Linked DNA regions of Oryctolagus cuniculus. The protein of the gene in region 3 purifies or fractionates together with the protein of the main gene of each other region. This does not show direct contact. Links are inferred from orthologs where the notes say so. Each region holds a gene or a part of one and is shown on either strand. Other genes may lie near its edges.

Region 1 (4,948 bases), on a different chromosome or scaffold from region 3:
ATTCAATGTTTTTTTTTTTTTTTTCCTACTGACCTCTTTTATCTCTTCTAGGATGTAGGGTTCTGCTGAACATTAAACATATGCAATTTATAGTTTAGGGAGAAGGGTCACAGTCTTTCAGTAAGGATTGGTGAGACAATTTTCTGAGGCTTCAACTCAATCGTGGTTTCTCTGAAAACCACTATACCCAGGATACATCTCCTGCCTATTCTTGATGGTGGGGCAGTCAAATTACATTTTACTATTGCAGTGACTAATACTGTAGTGTATATTAATCCTGTGTTGGGTACATCACTCATGACTTGTTTCACCTATTATAGAAGACATTCATCAACACGTGTTCTCACTTTCAGGAATTAATCAGATTAAAGCAAATGATAGTGAGGACAGACCAGTGGTTCTTAATATTTGAGTTGGCAAGGGGAGTAGAGTGGGGACTCAGAGGTTCCATTTCATAACTAGTGAAAACTATAAACTTCCCCAGGAAAATACACATATATAAATATTTCATGTAATTACTGAGGATTCATAACACTTTCTCCACCCTCAAAGGTCATTCATAAAAGATTAAGATATCCTGCACTAAATGATTCTGAAGTTCTATGTTAGTGTTTCTCAAAGTTTGATCCATGGACTCCAGCACCAGAATCACTTGGAATATTTGTTTACAAAAATAACAGATTTGTGGGATTGCCACAGATTTACCCTTTCAGAATTTTTGGAGAATGAGTTTCAGGAATATGTTTTTAAAATCCCCAGATGATTCTTTGGAAATTGATATTTGACAATCAATGCTTCATTCCAACTCGGGATTTTTGTGGGGTTTGAGTGCTTCTATCTATTGAATATTTTAGGTTTTGTCTGTTCATCTGTCAAGTACCAGTTTAGTATGAACTCATTAAAGTATATTTGTATAAGCATAGGAAAGACATCTGAAAGGATATGTGTGTGTGTGTGTGTGTGTGCTTGTGTATGTGTAATTTAGAAACAAATATATAAAGAATGCACACACACATATGAATGAAGGGGGAGCTTGAATTAAAAGATCATGTGCACTTTTTAAAAAAATTCATTTTATTTATTTGAAAGGCAGAATGACACAGAGAGAGAAGTCTTCCATTTGCTGGTTCACTCTCTAAGTGCCCACAACAGCTGGGGTGGGCTAGACTGAAGCCAGGAGTTAAGAGTTCATCTGGGTCTCCCACATGAATGGCAGAGGCCCAAGCACTCAAATCATTTTCCTCTGCCTTCCCTGGCACAGTAGCAGGGAGTTTCATTGGAAACGGAGCAGTGGAGAGGAGAACCAGCTATGGTCAGGTGGTGGAGTGGCATGCTGCACCTTGGCAAACCTGAACCTGTGCATTTTCCATGAGCTTTTTGAAGGCCCCTACTATAATGTTAACAGTGGTTCTCTTCGCACAGTGGGAACCTGGATGATAGTTATGTTTTCATCTTTATCCTTGTTTTATTTTTCTCATTTTTTTCTTCCTGTATTTAGTAAAGATACTTCCTGTTTTTGAGCTCAGTGTCCCAATCTGAGAAACAGGGTGTTGTTGTAACTAGGCGAACTTCAAGACCATGTCCTGCTCTGATGGTCAGTGATTTCACATTACCCCCAAGCTATCTGATCACCCTCTAGCTCTCTGGTCCTATCTAATAGCGTGAATTGCATTGGTAACAACAGCGTTTCGAGAATAATTTATTATTTTTATATGTTATGTTGAGATATGTAGGAACAGTTTTTTGACAGCAGTTATTTTCTTCTTCAAGGAGTCAGAACAGAAATAATCTACTGTCTGCAGCCCTCAAAAGTTCACTCTCTTTCCTTAGCCTGAGAAAATGCCGTCCACGCATCTCTCTTAGTAGCGTAGAAATGGTTGTGAACCAAAAAGCCAGGGCGTGGTCGCCCCGCCCACCGGCCCCTACATCACTATCCCTTTCGCTTTTTTCAAGCGCGGGGATTGGCTGAAAACAAGAAAGAACCCCGCCCCTGGTCTTATGACTCGCGCTGAAGCGGCGGCGACTCCTGGCTTTTGCTGCGCTGTGGTCAGTGGTCGGTGGTGCTCTTGCCGCAGCTGTAGCGAGTCTCTTCCTTTCTGTTGCCGCTGCTGCCGCCTCCTGCCCTCTGAAATCATGGTGCGCTCCTGTATTTTCTTGGTTCAGTGCTCGGGACTCGTTCTGCTCTGCCTGGGACTGGGTGAGTTGTTGGGCCCTCCTGATTAGTGTTCAGCCTGGGCCCGGGGCGCTGGTTCAAAGGCCACAACCTGAAAGACTGGTCCGGGAGAAGGCGGTTGAGAGGCTCCGCAGCTGACACTGGGCTGGGGTTGTTGTCCCGCGGAAGTGAGCAGTGACCTAGAGAAGGCCTGATCAAGAGATGGCAGGGAAGAAGCCACGGGGAGAGTAAGAAGGGGCAAGTACGGGGCGGGGGCGGGGAAGGGTGGACGCCGAGGGAGTCAGCAGGAAGCGTGAAGCGTAGCAGAGGTCGCATAAAGAGTGACTTGGGGAAGACCCTAAAGAAGATTTTGGGGGCGGCAGAGGTAATTAGGAGAGTCCCGATTTCCCTGGATCAGGCAAGAGTTTGGAAGTTGATGGAAAAACTATGGAGTGAGAAGGAAAATTGGTAGGGAAAGAGACTGCCTGTATGGAATAACTTGGGGGAAGAATGGGGGCTGGGAGCAGATAGGAGAGCCTTAGGGGCAGGGACAGGGTTGTGGGGTTTGTAAGTGGAAATTTATGGAGAAAGGGTGATTCAAGAGGTGAGGAATGATGCTGAATTTGAGTTTGGCAGTCGAAGTTTTCAGAGTGAAGGAACCTAAACTGGCTGAGGCAATTTTCAAGACACAACCTTTGGAAACCAATGGGGACTTTGGTGAGGAATGAATATCCATTGTGGAGGGGTTAAGGATGTCGGTGTTTATCGATTTTGCTACTTTCTCCCAGCCAGACCCTGACACCCACACCCGCAGCCAAAAAAAAAAAAAAAAATCCCGAATGTTTTAGGTGGGAGGGCCTTCCAGATGTGAGATTTGGGGGACTGGTTTTCTTCTTCCTTATGGCACAACTGGCCTGTTACCTCGTTTTTAGAAGGGGAAGGTGGGTAAGTTCGCAATTAGTGAGTTCTTACCGGGTCCCAAAATGGAAGTGTAGCTGATTGTGCTCTGCCAGGGTAGGCTGCGGGTTCCTGACGGCTTTAATGTATAAAGATGAACTTTGACCATTGTGTCTCTTCCTGACCTGATTCATCCTGTGCTTATTGCTACCCACAGGCTCTTGCTCTTTGTGACTTAATAAAAGAGCAGAAGAAACAGACCAGAGAGGGGAGGACACAGACATATTTGGGACCTGAGAAGGCAGTAGAAATATGCATATTGTCATTCGCATTTTAGTAGAATAAAATGAACATCATAGAACAGTGCGTTCTCAAGAAGAGGACATTTGGGAATATCTGGAAACATATTTGGTTGTCACAGCTGGGTGATAGTGGCATGTAGTGAGTAGAGGCCCAGGATGCTAGTCAACATTCCTACCAAGCACATGCTAGCCCCTCTCAACAAAGAATTAACTGCCTCAAATGCTAATAATGCCTGAGTTATCTAGTCCAGTGATTTGCAAGGGCCTTTTCAGGGGTTTGCCAATTCAGAACTTTTCAGAATACTACTAAGATATTTGTCCTTTTCTTGTCCTCTCACCAGTGTACAGTGGAGTTTTCTGGAGGCTAAATAGTGTGCGATGACATCACCACTCTGATGCCTCTGGTGTTCATGTGTTTTGTTAATTTCTTAATCTTAATTTCTGATATGGTAAATACTGATAGATACAACTCAGATAAGCCAAAGCTGTGTGAGGTCCTCTGTGGATAATAGAATAAAGGGATCCTGACACCAAAATGTTTGCAAGTCCCTGATCTATCCAGCTGTCCTTGGAGTGTAGAAAACCCTTGTACAGCACTTCTGAAAGGGGGCCATGAGGCTTTGCTTAAATACTTAATTCAAAGTCTTAACTGTACTGTGAAGCATTTGCTGATGGCTGACTGACCCTAAGACAGTCTTGTTTACAATAGAAAGCACCTTATCAGTGACTGGAACACATCTGACCAAGGCATCTGTTAATCAGGAGTTCTTTGCCAATTGAATCTGCACAAATACAACACAGTTATTGTTTAGAGAAAGTGAAAAAATAATAGTTGCCCTACTTGTTGCCTTTTATGCCATTTTTTTGTTTTTTAATGAAAGCTTTTTTTTAAAATGAAATCAGTGTTTGCTCATTGCAGAAATAAATAGATAAAAAAGAAGCTCAGGAAAGAACGCATCAGTTCATCTGCTAGTTTGCCGTTTATTAATTGGGGCTAACCAAATTCACCTCCTGAAAGATTTCCAAGATTTATGCCCCCAGTCTCCAAGTTTAGAACAGAATTTGGAGGAGTAAAAATTAATAATATACCTAAATCTGATATTTAACAGGTTCCGGGATGCAATTAGAACAACCTTTCTATATAGCTGCTTCTTTGAACAGTTCTAGGTGCAGTGTGAACTAAGTCTTCCCATGTGGTTTTTTTTCCTAAGAATTTAGCAGGTTTGTAGTTGCTTGGTGGGCTTTGCATATAACCTTTCTTTATAAAAATAGATACCAAGTATAGATTTTTGAAAACTCAGTAAATATTTGTAAGGTATGTACCATGTACCTAGTACTGTGCCTGCGTGTTGTAGAGGCTACTAGTAAAGGAAGAACTATCCTGAATTTATGGTTTCACTAACATTAGGGCTGTAGCTGTGCCAGTTTCTCTTTATAACCATCCCAGCTCCACTGTTACCCTTTAAAAAGTGGTTGCTTTATAGCAAATATAAGAAATAATTCTTAAAGTCTACATGGTGATCTTTTTCACAGAGATTAAGTTATGCTGATACTTATTTGAATGAACTATAACTGGAGACATTTCTGAAAAAAGTCT
Region 2 (4,820 bases), on a different chromosome or scaffold from region 3:
TGGACAAGCCGGGCGCCAGGCCAGTGTGGGCCCGGAAGAGCAGTGTCCTCCTCCCCAGAAGTCGGGGCCAGCTCTAGAGGCTGCAGTCCCAGCCCTGCCCCCGACCCCCGGGGCAGCCAGGGAACCAAGCACAGCGTGGAGGACGAAACAGCCCTGGCTGTGCTGGGCCTCAGTTTCCCCATCTGTCAACGGGGGCAGCCAGCGAGGCTGCCTTAGGGTCAGGCAAACACAAGACATCATGAACCCTCTGATCCTGGGGTCCCGAGGGCTTCCCCTGCTGTGGGATTCCAGCCCCCTGTCCCCTCTGCCCCCGCCCCGGGGCCACTGGACTGCTGACTCATGACCGACAGGAAGGCACCACGTGGTGGGATGACTCAGCAGTGTCCATGTGCAGAGAAGACAGGGGACCGGTCAGCAGGGTCCCCGCTCCCCCCAGTCAGTCACATGCCCAAGTCTCGAGCTTCCTGTCCCGGCCAGGACCCAGGCCAAGCAGGACACAGGGCACAGCCCCGCCTCCCAGCCCTCAGGCCAGAGCCCAGCCTGGGCAGCAGGGAGGGAGTCTTTGAGGCTGGGGGCAGCTCTGGCCCAGAACCTCTCCCCCATAGAGCTAGGACCAGGCCGACCAGGTCCCAGCTTGCTGTGTGTGTAGCTTCTGGAATGTTCCACCTCTGAGCCAGCTTCCCCTTGAAGGAGCAGGGGGTACCATGGGGGCTGCTGAAGAGCGTGAGGGGACAGAGAGTGTCCCCGGCGTCACCCAGGCCTCTCGGCAGGACAGGCAGGTGACGGGGCTGCAGGGCAGACCCTGACGGCCCAGGATCAGGGTCGCCCACCCAAAGCTCAGGGCCAGGGGACTGTGGCCGTGAGGACCAGCCATCGGCTCAGCCACGAGCAGGGGCTTGGAGCTGGGGACACACAGGGGCGGCACCACCGAGGTGCTGTCTCAGCCCCAGTGGGGGCAAGTGGCCCCCGCAGGCTTGGAGACCCAGGGAGCCTGGGGCAGGGGAGCCAGGTGCAGGGCCGGGCCCCCACCAGCAGCACGTGTGCGATCCCACCGCCTCCCTGCCTGCGGCCAGGCCCCGCCCACACTCACATCCATGTAGTTTCTCAGGATCTCGGGCACGGGCTGCTTGGTCCCCACGGGCGCCTCCTGGGAGTACTTGGACAGGGGGCCCTGAGCTCCTGGCTCCTCCACGGGGCCCTGAGCAATTAGGTCCTCCACGGGCCCCCAGGCCTCCGACATGGTCCGCCGGATGGAGGTGAACTTGTGCAGCGGAATCCTGTGCAGACACACGGCGGTGGGGGCTGTGCCAGGGCGGGGCTCTGGCCGCCACAGCCTCTCCCTCCCACCCCGGGACCCGCAGCTGGGCGAGGGCAGCCGTCCCGGGGCCCGAGACCCTCACCAGCCACCCTCTGGGTGGGTCTAAGGCATGGCCAGCACGAAACTGCCACGGGCACCTGGGGGTCCAGCTCCCTCTGCCCCCAGCCCAGGAGGCCTCACTCACCCAGCCCTCGGGGAGCCCACATGCAAACCAGGGGCCGCTGTGCCCACCCGCCTGCCTGTGCCGCCCTCACCCCTTCAGTCTCCACCCTCCCCTGCACCTGCTCCTGGCTCTGCCCGGATGGTGGCCAGCAGCGTGCAGGGCTCCTCACCGCACTGTACCTGGCCTCCCAGCCACTCCTCCCTGCACCTGCCTGTCCGCCATCGGAGGGGTCTCTTCAACGCTAGCTCCCTGCCCTGAACCCTGACTGCCCCAGGGGCCCCCACCCCACTATGGGGCACTGGGGGGTTCTGGGCCTCCTCCTAACACACCCCCCGTGCCCCTGCTTGGGGTGAGGCCTTGGGCACTGCTGTGCAGGAGAGCGCCCCAGGCCCAGGGCAGGTGTCCCGCGGGCTCTGATGCCCAGGGCCCCGCCCACTCTGTGTCTGGGCTCACTCCCCACTCGCCCAGCTCCTAATCACTCAGATGAGGTGTCGTCGTTGAGCCCAAGGTCACAGCTGGCTATTCCCGGCACGCCAAGGGCATGCTCCCAGTTGCCCAAGACTGGGTAGGCTGGGAGTCCTGGGCGTGGCCAGGGATCAAGGAGACAGGTGCCCTGAGTCCCACAGGACCTGGGTCAGGTGTGTGGGCCTCTCCCTCAACTGCCGGGCTCCCCAGGAAGTCCTGGGCTCCCTTCCCTACTACAGTCTCTGCCCTTCTGGCAGAGCGGAGGCTGTGGGTGGGGCAGGCAAGGCCCAGGCAGGCAGGCGGGCGCCGTGCCTGCTGCCCCACAGTGGCTGCCATGGAGCCTACCCCCCCCCCCCAAGGCTGCAGCCTGCCCCCAGCCCGCCCAGCCCGCCACCTTGGAGCTCACTCCAATGTCCTGTGCAACAGGCCCAATGCCCCCAGCACAGGGGACAGGTCCCTGGGCCCCAGGGCTCTCGACAGAGCCCCAGTCCCGGGGTGGGCAGGCTGGGCCACGCCCCGGGACCTCTCCACTCTCTGGCACCTGTGGGACTCCCAGGGCTGGGTAAGGTCCCCTGGGGGAAGCTGCCGGAGCGTCTTCCCCGGGCTCAGGGGCTCCAGGGCTTGCACCTGCCGGTGCCGCCTTCCCAGGTGAGTCCACACCTGACCCGAAGCAGCGCAGCTCCGCCCCACCTGTCACCCTGGGGCAGCGCTGCGCTCCGGGCTGCTGAACCCCCCAAGACGGAGGGGTGGCAGGAGGGTTAGGGCGTCCGGCGAGGGCTGAGCGCGACCCCTGCACCTACGGAGCCCGCAGGCGCTGGTGCATTCCCGCGCGGGAGACCACCAGGGCGCGGGGACCCCAGAGCCGCGCCCCCTCCCCCCGCGGCGCCCTGAGCGCGCTCCTGGGACCCGGGGCCTCACCTGATGATCGCGGTAGCCGACGCGGCCAGGAGGCCGAGGGCGAGCAGCAGGAGGCTGGGGGGCTGCATGGCGGCGGTGGCCCAGGAGCAGCGAGGTCGCGCGCTTATAGCCGGGATGACGGCGCAGTCAGGCCTGGTCAGCTGACCGCTTGTTTGCCCCCGGGCTGGTCACGTGGCCGCGGCCGGCGTGCGCGGGGCGGGGCGACCCGGTCCCTCCCGCCCATCTCTCCCGCCCCCGCCAGCCCGGCGCAGGCGCGCCCCGTCCGTGCCCGCACACGGCCCTCGGGAGCGCGCCCGCCGCCGCGCCTGTCCGGGCTCTCGGGGGCCCAGCCAGACTCACCCTAGAGGCCCTCTACGGACCGAGCGCCCCCGCCTGCCGCCGGGGCCGGCACGCGCGGGCGTGGGAAGCCCCCCCTCCCCCGCCGCAGCGCCTGCACCTGCTCCTCGCGCGCGTGCGCACGTCTTGCCTGGCGCTGAGGGGCTCCAAGGTGCCCTGGAGCATCCCGGTGCCTCCGCCATCCCGGCCACCCTGGCCCAGCCCCTCCCGGGAGCAGCTCCTCGCGGGGCTGCGCGGTGTCCTGAGCCCTCCTCCCTGTCCGTCCAGTCTGTAACCCGCGCCCTGTTCTCGACACCCCGGCATTCAAAGGATGGCTGAACAAAACCAGAGAAGGGGTCAGGTCTCCCAGCGCCGGGCGGGGGCGGGGGTGGGGGGGACCCCAGGATCTGTTTGCAGGGTGCCCTGGGCCAGGGGCCCTCGGCGCTACCCTCAGGCCATGCTGGCCACTCCTTCCCTGGTGTTGGGAACGGAGCGAGGCCCGGTACCTCCCTGCCTGAGCCGCGGGAGTGCCAGACCTGCCCGGGGAGCTGGCAGGGGATGACAGTGTCCTCAGGAGGCCAGCTGGGCAGTGGCGGAAGGTGCCGTCTGGGGAGGGGGACCGGCGTGGGTTTGTCACGTGCCTCCGAGAAAGCAAGGCAGGTGCCCGGGTGCTCAGGCGCTCACCCGTGAGGCAGCAGACCCTGAGCTGTGGCCGCCCCACCCAAGGCGTTCTGGGCAGAGGCGCCGCGGGACAGTGGCTGGGAGGCCCTTCCAGGAGTGGGCCGATGTCCGGCCGGCCGGGAGCTCCGCCTGGCCCCTGGGGGCTGCGGCCGGCTGCTGGGGGCGGTGGGGGGGTGGGTTCCCACCAGTGCAGTCTGCTAGTCCACTCACTAGAATCATCAGCCTGCTTCCCCGGCAGCCGGGGCCGAGCCTGGAGGATTCTGGGAGGCCTGAAAGCCTGGGTGCTCCAGGTCCCAGAGCAACTGAGGCCCTGGGCTCCAGGAGGCAGAGGTGGCTTCTGACCGCTGACCTCCGGCTGCCTGGGCAGAGCCCGCCCTGTCCAGGCCTGGGCTGGGACCCCCATGACCCAGGGCTGAGCTGCAGCCGCGCCTCCAGGAGCCAGAGACACGGGAGCCCACCCGTCTCCCTGCCCGCTGAGGACAGAGACACGGGAGCCCACCCGTCTCCCTGCCCGCTGAGGACAGAGACACGGGAGCCCACCCGTCTCCCTGCCCGCTGAGGACAGAGACACGGGAGCCCACCCGTCTCCCTGCCCGCTGAGGACAGAGACACGGGAGCCCACCGGTCTCCCTGCCGGCTGCAGCCCCCTGCCCCGGCCGAGCTGACCCGGGGCCGCTGGTCGCCTCAGGCCTGCCTGCGGGGCTCCTCAGCTGAGGGCGCCTACCTCCCCCTCTCTTCTTTTTAAGGGATTTTTTTTTTTTTTATTTGACTAGAAAGGCAGATGGAGAAACAGAGAGAAATCTTCCATCTGCTGGTTCATTCTTCAAAAGCCAGGGCTGAGCCAGGCCGGGGCCTGGAGCTCACGGGGTAGGGAGCATTGCAGCCGTGGGGGTGCTGGGGAGAAGGGGTGGGGCTGTGTGGTGCACAGCGCAGGTGTGGGGCAGGCCTGGGCTCTGGCCC
Region 3 (5,062 bases):
CCTTGTACATCTCAATCACAACTTCAGTACTAAGCACTGGCTGGCACCTTTACCACCTGACACACTGCAGGAGTCCAGTATGCGTGCTGACTGAATAAAAGATTGCCCAACTTCTCGACTACTTGGGATCAGAGAAATTTAAACAAAGCCAACATTGAGATCTCAACTGCAGGACAGTAATCAACTTCTATGCACCAGCCACAACCTTCACCCATACAGGCTTCCTATAGTGCCCCATAAATCTTCCACTTTCTTTTATCTTTCTTAGAATTCAATTAATTGTTCACAGTCTAGTTCTCCACAAAAATCTGTCCTAAAGTATTTCTTTTCTCTGCTTTAAACTACTGTAAAACACAGTACTCATAATATTCGTTAGCAGTATTTCTTATGCTGCCTTGTATTGCTTTCTTCTTTATGTGTATATCTTGATTCTCCTGAAGCAGTTAGGACCTGTAATGATTGGATTGTGTATCAAATACTCACACACTGACTGTCCAGCGGCTCCAACAGGAAGTATGAAGCAGGACCATACTCCCAGGACCAATCATTCTGTGAACCCACTATGTGCAAGGGAAAGAGGAGGGGACAAGGATTCCTGAAATCAAATATTTCTTCATGGCCAGTATTAACAATTCCATTACCACCTGTAAAGGACATCTCTTGTTCCTGTCCACTGTGTACCTTTGCCTTAAGTCTTAGTGGGAACATCTTCAGGACTCTTCACCCTCTGCAGGCCCGGGGGTGGTCATGGAGCAAACAGCAGCTGGGTCAATCCAACTCTTTCTGGGCAGCAAAGTCTACGGTTGTTGCACATTTATTCTGCGGCAGGCCCTAAAAGAACTCCTGTAACTTAGACCCCTTGAGCTGACTATGGTTCATTTCAGAGACCCTGCTGGTCATTCACCCTATATCTTTCCAAATAAATCCCTGTCTTAAATTAGCCATAGGTGGTTTCACTGTTTGCAAACAATAAACCCTAACTAACCTACAGTCTTTCCATTTTCTCAATTGAAAATAAATAATTACCAAAAAGAGTGACTTAGAGCTAAAGAGATATAGTTACATAACTGTTGGTGAAACAATTGCTAGGTGAAATGGAGATTGGTAGGTCTGTACTCATCCTGAAACCGAAAGTCACAGACCCAAGATCTCTGGAGCAGCCAGCACCCAACCAAGATGCATTTAATGTGTTTTTCTAAGACTCATTTTCCTCTTAGATATCCAATTTTTCCATAAATTGTCAGTTCATTAATCTCATCCTGAAGAATTCATAAACAGGGGCAGGCACTGGGCACCACACTTAAAGTCACTGCTTAGGATACCCACATCCCATATTTTTAGAGTGCCTGTTTTCTCTGCTTCTGATTCAGTTTCCTGCTAGTGGGCCTGGAAACCACCCCTGTGGGAGAGCAGGATAAAGTTCTGGCTTCATCCTGGCCTAGACTTGGCTCTTGTGGCCATTTGGAGAGTTAACCAGGATATGGAAGATTCCCCCTCTCTCTCTCTCTCTCTCTCTCTCTCTCTCTCTCTCTTGCTGTGCCTTTCAAATAAATAAATAAATCTTAAAAAAAAAAAATCACATCCCTAGACGTTTACAAAAAGTGGTGGCCATTTAGCACTACGGTTAAGCAGCTGCTTGGGCACCTGCATCCCACACAGGAGTGCCTGGTTCCAGTCCTGGCTCCTAAGCTTCTGATTCAGTTTCCTGCAAATGCACATCCTAGGAGAGCAGGTGATGGCTCAGTACTTGCGGTCCTCCCACACGTGTGGGGGACCCAGCTGTGAGAGACCCAGCTCTGGGGTCCTGGCTTTGGCCTGGCCCATCCTTGGTTGCTATAAGCATTTGAAAAGTGAACCAGCAGTTGAAAGATCTTTCTCTGCCTCTCTCTCTCTGAATCTCTGCCTTTCAAATAAAAGTGAAAAATAACATTTTTTAAAAATTCACCAGGGATTCTGCTTTAACTACAAGTCTCCAATCTACTTTCAGGTTTTACCATTAGCTTTCTGTTTTCTCAGCTAGAAAAGAACTAAAATTTTTAGTCATATCATTAGGAATTGGTCTCTATTTTGTCAAGATGATTTAACTATGGTCACTATTTGTACTACAACCTAAGGTCTTGCAGCACTGGAACCAGGGTTCCCATGTCTTTCGCCTTTCCCAATGTGCTCCATTCAGTGAAAGGATCATAGCAATATTCCTATTTGTTTATTAACCCAAGCAAGCGCTTTAATGTACCTGCCATCTTTGCGTTCCGAAGAGAGCAAGCATTTCATTATGTGTAATGGGCAACCCAGTTAATAATTATAAACAGTCTTCGTATAAACTCAGGCAAGTAAGACTTCTGCAATTTTGCACTATACGCACAGGGATTTTACGTCCTCTGCCTTGGATCGAAGATTTGAGACCCTTCTCATGCTACCATGCTTACATAGAAAAACAGCACGTGACACTGTTTTCCTCCAATGGGGGTTTCCGGGCTATGACAGCGACAGGTCCAGGGCTGCCCACGGGACGCCGCGACCTGCCGCAGCCTGTTCAGGGGCCCTGCCGGCGGGGACCCGGGCCCCTCTGCGTGCCCAGGGGGACAGCGCGGCGCCCAGACACGCGCGGGGACGCAGGGCGCCCGGGCCAGACGCGCGTCACGTGAAGCGCGCAGTTCCGGGGCCACGGACGCGCGCCGCACGTGGGCTGCGCGCCAGCCTGGGGCGGCCGCCCCCCGAAGCCCACCCGGCCTCCCGCGGGAGAAGCCGGCAGCCTGCAGCACTCGGCCTCCAGGGCCGCCCGCAACCAGCCCCGCGCCCTGGGCCGCGCCGCACCCCCAGTCTCCGCCCCTCGCGCCCCAGCACAGGAAGAACGGGATTCCGGAGGCAGCGCCCACCACCTCCCCTTCCGCGCACTCACGTCCTCCGTCCGGGCCCCCGCTGCCATCTCCCGACGCCCGAGACCGGAGCCCGGGCCAGCCCGGCCTGCCCACCTGCGCCCGGCCGCCGCCGGCCCAGGACGAGTCTCCACCTTCAGGGACCGGCGGGCCCTCCCCGCGGACACGCCCCCTTCTCCGCCCGCCCCGCCCCTCAGGCCCGGGCCCCGCCTCCCCTCGCTCCCGATTGGCCGGGGCGGAAGGAGGGGCGGGCCTCGCCCAAGCCCCGGGCTCTGAGCGGCGCCCGGAGAGCGCGGGCTCCCGCTTCGCGCCGCCGCGTCTCTGTCAGCTCTCGGCCGCGCTCGGGCGTGCTTGCGTGGCTGGTCCGCCAGTTGAACCCTTTGCGGTAAGGTGTTTGCTCTGTGCTGAGGGAGACCCCGTGGTAAAATCCCACCCCACCCGGAGAGGGACGGAACAAACCTGATTTACCTGGCGTCTGAGTGGTTTAACTTCACCAGCGTCCTACACAGGGTCACACCACGATCGGTGTGCGGAATAGGCACCGTGGGAAACAAATTTTTGGATTTTTTTGCTCCTTTGTTAAAGGAATTAACAGAGAAGGCTGGGGAATTATCTGATAATACATTATAATTAAAATGTAGTCAGAAAAGGAAAGTGAAATTTTCTGTCAGTGCCACCCCTCCCCCCACAACCGGATGAATGCTTATTTGCATATGGCGTGTACTGGGGTCCTGTTTGCAAGGCTGGGGAAACATGAAAACACGTAAAACATTACGTGGTGAAACCACGCAAATGTCAGCAAAGGCAAGGACGGTGTCGGACTCCACGTGGTCCGAAGGTGTCTCAGTCCCGAGATTCTGTGAATTTTTTCTCAAGTTTCTAGATACGCATTTCCCCTCCATATTTGGAAAATTGTCAAGGCTATAGCAATGCTGAAATACTAGTACCCTGAAATCCGTGGATGTGCCCCTTATGTGAATTTATCAGTTGTTAATATCATACCAAAACTGCTGTGTGTGTGTGTAACTGAACCATGTAAACGTTGAGGACAATATGAAACGCTATACTCCGTTGCCTAAAAGTAAGGATAGTTCCTTCATCAAGACAATCATTACACACCTAAGAAAACTCATAATACTATGTTTACTACCATCATAGCATAGTATTATAATTGTATGTTTACTAACTACTCTAGGCCAATGTTTTTCAAACTGTCCCTGTAGCGATACTATCTCTTCCCATGATCACAGCTGAAAGTCCTCTAGCAAAAGACAGGTTAGCTAAAGGAAAGGATGACAAAAATTTTTTTAAAGATTTATTTATTTGAAAGGCAGAGATACAGAGAAAAGAGAGAAGGCAGGGAGAGAATCTTCCATCTACTGGTTCACTTCCCAAATGGGTCAAACTACTGGGGCTGGGCCAGGCCAAAGCCAGGAGCCAGGAGCTTCTTTTGGGTCTCCCATGTGGATGCAGGGGCCCAAATACTTGGGCTCCCCTCTGCTACTCTCCCGGGGCCATAGCAGAGAACAGGATCCCAAGTGGAGCAGCCAGGACTCGAACTGGCACCCATATGGGATGCCGGCACTGCAAGCGGAGGTTTAACTTGGTGCAACACAGCGCCAATCCCCCAAGCTTAACATTTCAATATAAGTTTTACAGGACACAGAAGCCTCCAGAAATGAGGAATCAAGCACACAGAGCAAAGGGTTCTAGAATGAACAGCCTGTAGAACTATTGGACAGAAGAGTATGATCTACTGGAAACAGACTGAGGAGGCAGCTGGGCCTGTCTGCTCTGATTCTTGGCCTCTCTGCAACATTCCTTCCTTCCCCGTGGGGGACAGAATCCTTTCTGGAGTGGGGATGTTATGACCAGCTAGGTCAGACAATTCCTTATGTCCAGCTCTTACACAGAAAGGGAGTTTTGCATTATGTATTCTGAGGTCTATGGCTGGATTTGGGGGAAAGTAGTTCTTTAATGCCTTGGGAGAGGAATTCTGGTTTCCATGCTTGCCTGGGGTGAGAATGAAGTGCCTAAGAAAGGCAGACAGGAGGCCGGCGCTGCAGCTCACTAGGCTAATCCTCCGCCTGTGGCGCCGGCACCCCAGGTTCCTTTTTTTTTTTTTTTTTTTTTTTTTGACAGGCAGAGTGGACAGTGAGAGAGAGAGACAGAGAGAAAGGTCC
Region 4 (4,889 bases), on a different chromosome or scaffold from region 3:
CAGCACCTGCAGGCGGCACCCACGGGTGCCTGTGTCTGTGGCAGCCGTCCACCCAGTCTCAAACACAGTGGTTCCCCCGGGTCACAAGACCACAGCTCTGGCTGCTCCTTCAACACTCCCACTTGCAGAAATTCCAATCTGAGACAAGCACAGCTGTGGGCAACACACACGCTTCTGAGTCAGACCTCGGTTCTCGGTGGTTCCTCCACCCTGAACAACCGTGTGCTCCTGGACCTGCGGCAACCCCAGCCCTCAATCCATCAGCACTTGGTGCACCTGACACAGTCTGAGTCGGCGAGCACTGTAAGGCACCTACTGTGTGCCAGGCACCGCCCTGTTACCGTCAGTTACCGTGCTAACCTGACGACGAGACTCCCTCCTGCAGAGCTGGAGACCAAGGCGCACAGACGCTGACCCCTTGCTCCAGGTCACACCCCAGAGACTGGTCCCGAGCCCGGCCCGGAGTGGGTTCTTCTGCCTGGCCCAGGCCTGACCACACCGCCTCCAGGCGTGGTGAGGAGGGACCAGGCTTCAAAGCGGCGAACTCCTGAGGCAGAGAGCTGGCGTCTGGTCTAGAGGTTACCACGGGTTCAGATGCCTGCATCCCACCTGCACAGCCACCTGGGTTAGATACTCAGCCCCACCTGATTCCAGCTGCCAGCTCATGTGTCCCACAGGAGGCACAGTGATGGCTCAGAAGTGGCTGGGTTCCTGCCACCCACGTGGGAGACCTGGACTTAGCTGGGTCCTAGCTTTGGCCCAGCCCAGCCCTGACTGGTCAGGGCGTTGGGGGAGTGAACCAGCATATGGGAGTTCTGCCTCGCTGCCTTTCACATAATTTTTAAAATTATGGAACACAGGCTTTGACATGAAAAAGGCTGCTATCTGAAGTCTACCCTTCGAAGCGCCAGCTTCCCTAAGCACACCCTCACCTGTACCATCTAGATTCCTCAAGCCCAGGGGCTTCCCTGGTAATCAATGAAATGCACAATCATCTATGGAGATTGAAGGGAGAGAAAGACCAAGTCCGACCCCGCACACGGGCTCGCAGCCTCTGGAGGCCCTGCATGTGCGCACACGCACACACACACACACACCCCTACAGAGCTGCCTCGTGCTGAGGGCGGGGCCGTGAAGACCGGGCATCTCCTCACACGGTACCAAGCAGGGCGAGCTGTCGGGCAGGGCCGGGCCTCGGGTGGGGGAGGCAGAGGCCCGGGCAGGAGCAGTCGCAGTACAGCCGACAGAGACCACAGAGCACACGCTACACTTCCTGGTATGCACAGAGAGGGGCCCACCATGCAGACTTTACCACAAACAGAAACTCAAAGCCACAGGTCCACAAAAACACTCCGGTCTGCAACCTGGCGAAGAATTCAGGAGCGACTCTCAGGCCCAGGGCAACGGTAATGCGCACGAAACTCTCCACAGTGCCTAAGTAACAGGTCTCCCGGTGGCCCACAAGTCAGACGACTGCTGCGAGTCCTACGTGTCAAATACAAGTCTCCCCAGGTCTGCGGAACACTGGAACAGCTTTAACTCCAGATTACTAATGAGAACAGGAACTGAAGAATCAGTTTCTCGTAATGAAAACATGCCTTTTGGTGTTTTACATTAAAACTTTTTTTTTAGACAGACGTGAATTCAAGTTGGTAAAAGACCTTTTGAAGAGCTGGGTTGTACTTGAATACAAAACCCGAAAGCCGCTCTGCTTCCAGCCAGCTCCCTGCCCGGGCTTCCAGGGCCCTGCCACCCACACGGGAGGCCCGAATGGAGCTGCAGGTTCGAGGCTTCTGCCTGGCCCGGGTGGCTGAACCAGGGGATCCCAGTGCTCCGCCTCTGCCTTTCAAGTAAACAAACAGTTAAAAAAAGCAAAAGACGCTGGGCTTCGGTGCCGGCTGGCTGCACCCCAGCTTCTGCCGGACGGCGCTCTCCGGGCGGCAGCAGCGAGGACTCCGGGCACTTGGGTCCCTGCCACCCACGTGGGAGACCTGGTTTGGGTTCATAGCTTCGGGCCACAGCAGCCATTTGGCGAGTGAACCAGAGACTGGAGGCTTGCCGTCTGTGCCTCTCAAAAAAAAAAAAAGAGAGAGAGAAAGAAAGAGCCCAATCGCAGGCACAGTACTCCAAGCTGCCCCAATACTAACAAGTTACGAATCTTCATTTTATTGATCCCAAGGCCGGTGCGGTGTGCTTACAAAGAGTGACGCAAGCTTTGCGACGCGGGAGAGCTGGTCTAACTAACCGCACCTGCTGCCAAGGGTCACGGGCGCCCGGCCCCGGCCAGGGCGTCTCTTGCGGCTGCTTATGCAAGTCCTGGAATACGTTCGCTCAATTAGCAAGACAAGACCCATCCGCAGACGGAACTGTGGGGTTCGGGGGGACTCCACCAACACCCCCAGCGCTCACGCGCAGGTGCGCGTCTACCTGACGCACGCGCATCCTCTCCCGGTCCCTGCGACCAGCTCCGCACGTTACTGGGGCGGGGGTCTGCGGGCCGGGGCCGAGGCAGGTGGGCGTCCGGGCGCACACTCCGCCCTCACCCCTGCTTCCCGGAGCGGGCACGGCCGCCACGACCTCTCCGCCCGGGGGCCGGGGCCGGGGCCAGGCCCTCTGATCGCCCGCCGCGCCAGGCTCGGACCCCCCGCGGCACCGCCCACGGCGCCCCCCGAACTCGTCGCCGGTCCGACCTCGGGCTGCGCGCAGCCGGGCCGCGGCGGGGGCTCCTCCCGCCCCGCGACGCCCGCGCCCCGACCCGGCGGCCCCGTCCCGCCGCCTCCCGCGGCCTCACCGAGCAGCAGCAGCAGAAGCAGCGGTCGCCGGGCGCCGCCGGGGGCCTCCATGGCGCGAGGCGGCCGAGCCGGTGTTGGGAGCCTGGCGCGGGCCGGGCGGCGTCGGTTGGGCCTCGGCTGCGGGCGTGGAGACTGCGGGAGGGGCGGCGACGACCACCGACTCGACGGGCCCGACAGCTGCGGCGCCGGCACCAAGGAGACCCCACGGCCGGCAGCGCCTGTCACGTGACCCGCGCCGCGCCCGCCGTCACGTGAGCCGCGGATCTCGCGAGAGCGCGCCCGTCGTGCGCCGGGGCTCGACGCCCGCAGGGGCCGGGTCTCCCGGACGTCCCCCGCCGTCTGCGCGCGTGACCTGGCCCGGCACGTGACTGTGGGGCCACGTGACCGGCCGCGCCCCCTCCTCCCCGGCCCGCCCCGGGCTCCGGGGGTCTCCGCGCGAAACGGAAAGTGCGGTGGCTCCGGGGAAGAGGAAGGAGAAAGGCCGCGGCGGGGGAAAGTGAGGGCCGGGAAAGCGGAAGCGCGCGGGCGGGCGGGCGGGTGTGTGCGGCTGCCGCCCGCCGCGCGAGCAGAACGCACTCGGGGGGCGTGCGCGCGGGGAGGGGGACCCTGCGTGCTGCGGGCGCCGCTGCCGCGCTCGGTGCGGCCTCAGGCCCGCGGCTGCCCCTCTGCCGTCGTTGCTTCCTCCGCGCGGCCAGCACCGCGCCGGGCGCGCTAAGGGGAGAGGCAGGGCTCAGCCAGGGCTCGGCGGCCGCGGGCGCGGGTCCCGCCTCCGGCTCAGCCCGCGAGTCGCTGTGATCACTCCGGGGAGGCGCGGGAGATGGCTCGGGGACTGGGGCTCCGGCCGCTGGGGCCGTCCCACCTGCCGCAGGCACTTGTGGGAGCGACCCCCGCACAGAGGCACGGTCCCCCTCCCTGTCCCCCTCTCCCCCCACCCCGTCCTCTGCCTGTCTCTCGGCGCCTGAATCAGGTAGCGAACCTGGGATACACACTCCCCTCTCTTTCGCTCTAAATTACGGTTCTCCGTGAGAAATGGTAAACAGAGGCAGTAATTTTGCATAGAGTTGTAACTTATGTTTGTTTTACCAAAATGTACTTTAAAAAATAAAGATCCAGTGGAAGGGGCCCAGTGTGCCGCCGGCTGCTGGTGTGCACCTGTGCTTTCTGGATGCTGTGAAGCAAGGTCCAGGCACTACTTTTCTTGTATGTGTATCACTTTCTTTTTTTTATTTATTTTTTTGGTTTACTTATTTGAGAGGCGGACTTACAGAGAGAGAGGTCTCCCATTTGCTGGTTCACTCCCAGATGGCTACAGTGGCCGGAGCTGGGCCAATGCAAAGCCAGGAGCCAGGAGCTTCTGCAGGTCTCCCTCGTGGGTGCAGGGGCCCCAGCACTTGGTCCATCTTCTACTGCCTGTTTCCCAGGCCACAGCAGAGAGCTGGAGCAGAAGTGGAGCAGCCCGGACGTGAGGCAGCCCCGCACGCCCAGGCTGACCCTGCTAGGCACAGTGTGCCGGCTTCCTGTGGGACCTCACCGCCATCGTCTAGGCACAGTGTGCCGGCTTCCTGTGGGACCTCACCGCCATCGTCTAGGCACAGTGTGCCGGCTTCCTGTGGGACCTCACCGCCATCATCGCACCTAACCGGGGAGCCCTGCACAGTGAGGCCGCGTGTCTGCCTTTCGCCAGGGCTGTAAGAAGTGCTGCTGGGCGCGTCTGTGCGTCTGTCCTGCGACACCTGCGTGCTCGGGAGCCCTGCGTCTCGCAGCACGCGGCACTCGGCACAGTGGCCCCGGGCGGAGGGCAGGACCAAGGGGCGCAGGCGGGCACCCAGGAGGGAAAGTGAAGAGGGCGCGGGGCTGCTTTGCAGCCAGCGTGTGTGGAAAGGCACAGTTCTGTCTAAAGGCTGAAAAGCGAGAGGGCAGCTCTGCTTCTCTGTAGCTCGAACGGTTTTGTCAGCGAGGCCGTTTTGGGAGAGCACAGCCCGGTTTCTGTCTGTCGTGTGGTAGGACTCCAGGCGGAAGGGCTCGTGCAGCACCGCTGACGGGTGCGTGTCTCGGGGGTGGGTGAGCGGTTCTGAGACGACCTTGTGTTTTCCAGGG

Evidence for each region. The genes of interacting proteins can lie anywhere in the genome.
Region 1: the proteins of TMEM192 (region 3) and LAMP2 purify together in Homo sapiens (affinity purification with western blotting; 5 studies listed by BioGRID and IntAct, with this or other methods). This does not show direct contact. The link is inferred for Oryctolagus cuniculus from reciprocal best matches to the Homo sapiens genes TMEM192 and LAMP2.
Region 2: the proteins of TMEM192 (region 3) and CTSD purify together in Homo sapiens (affinity purification with western blotting; 3 studies listed by BioGRID, with this or other methods). This does not show direct contact. The link is inferred for Oryctolagus cuniculus from reciprocal best matches to the Homo sapiens genes TMEM192 and CTSD.
Region 4: the proteins of TMEM192 (region 3) and LAMP1 purify together in Homo sapiens (affinity purification with mass spectrometry; 3 studies listed by BioGRID and IntAct, with this or other methods). This does not show direct contact. The link is inferred for Oryctolagus cuniculus from reciprocal best matches to the Homo sapiens genes TMEM192 and LAMP1.

What each region holds. Positions count from the first base shown.
Region 1 is NC_091453.1:98,202,895-98,207,842, reverse strand, and holds the start of LAMP2 (lysosome-associated membrane glycoprotein 2), read left to right. Parts: upstream 1-1,902; 5' UTR 1,903-1,998; coding exon 1,999-2,197; intron 2,198-4,948. UniProt on the Homo sapiens protein: Lysosomal membrane glycoprotein which plays an important role in lysosome biogenesis, lysosomal pH regulation and autophagy.
Region 2 is NC_091432.1:1,679,017-1,683,836, reverse strand, and holds the start of CTSD (cathepsin D), read right to left. Parts: upstream 3,047-4,820; 5' UTR 2,933-3,046; coding exon 2,865-2,932; intron 1,278-2,864; coding exon 1,091-1,277; intron 1-1,090. UniProt on the Homo sapiens protein: Acid protease active in intracellular protein breakdown. Plays a role in APP processing following cleavage and activation by ADAM30 which leads to APP degradation.
Region 3 is NC_091439.1:131,731,104-131,736,165, reverse strand, and holds the start of TMEM192 (transmembrane protein 192), read right to left. Parts: upstream 3,061-5,062; 5' UTR 2,930-3,060; coding exon 2,903-2,929; intron 1-2,902.
Region 4 is NC_091440.1:680,434-685,322, forward strand, and holds the start of LAMP1 (lysosome-associated membrane glycoprotein 1), read right to left. Parts: upstream 3,047-4,889; 5' UTR 2,844-3,046; coding exon 2,792-2,843; intron 1-2,791. UniProt on the Homo sapiens protein: Lysosomal membrane glycoprotein which plays an important role in lysosome biogenesis, lysosomal pH regulation, autophagy and cholesterol homeostasis.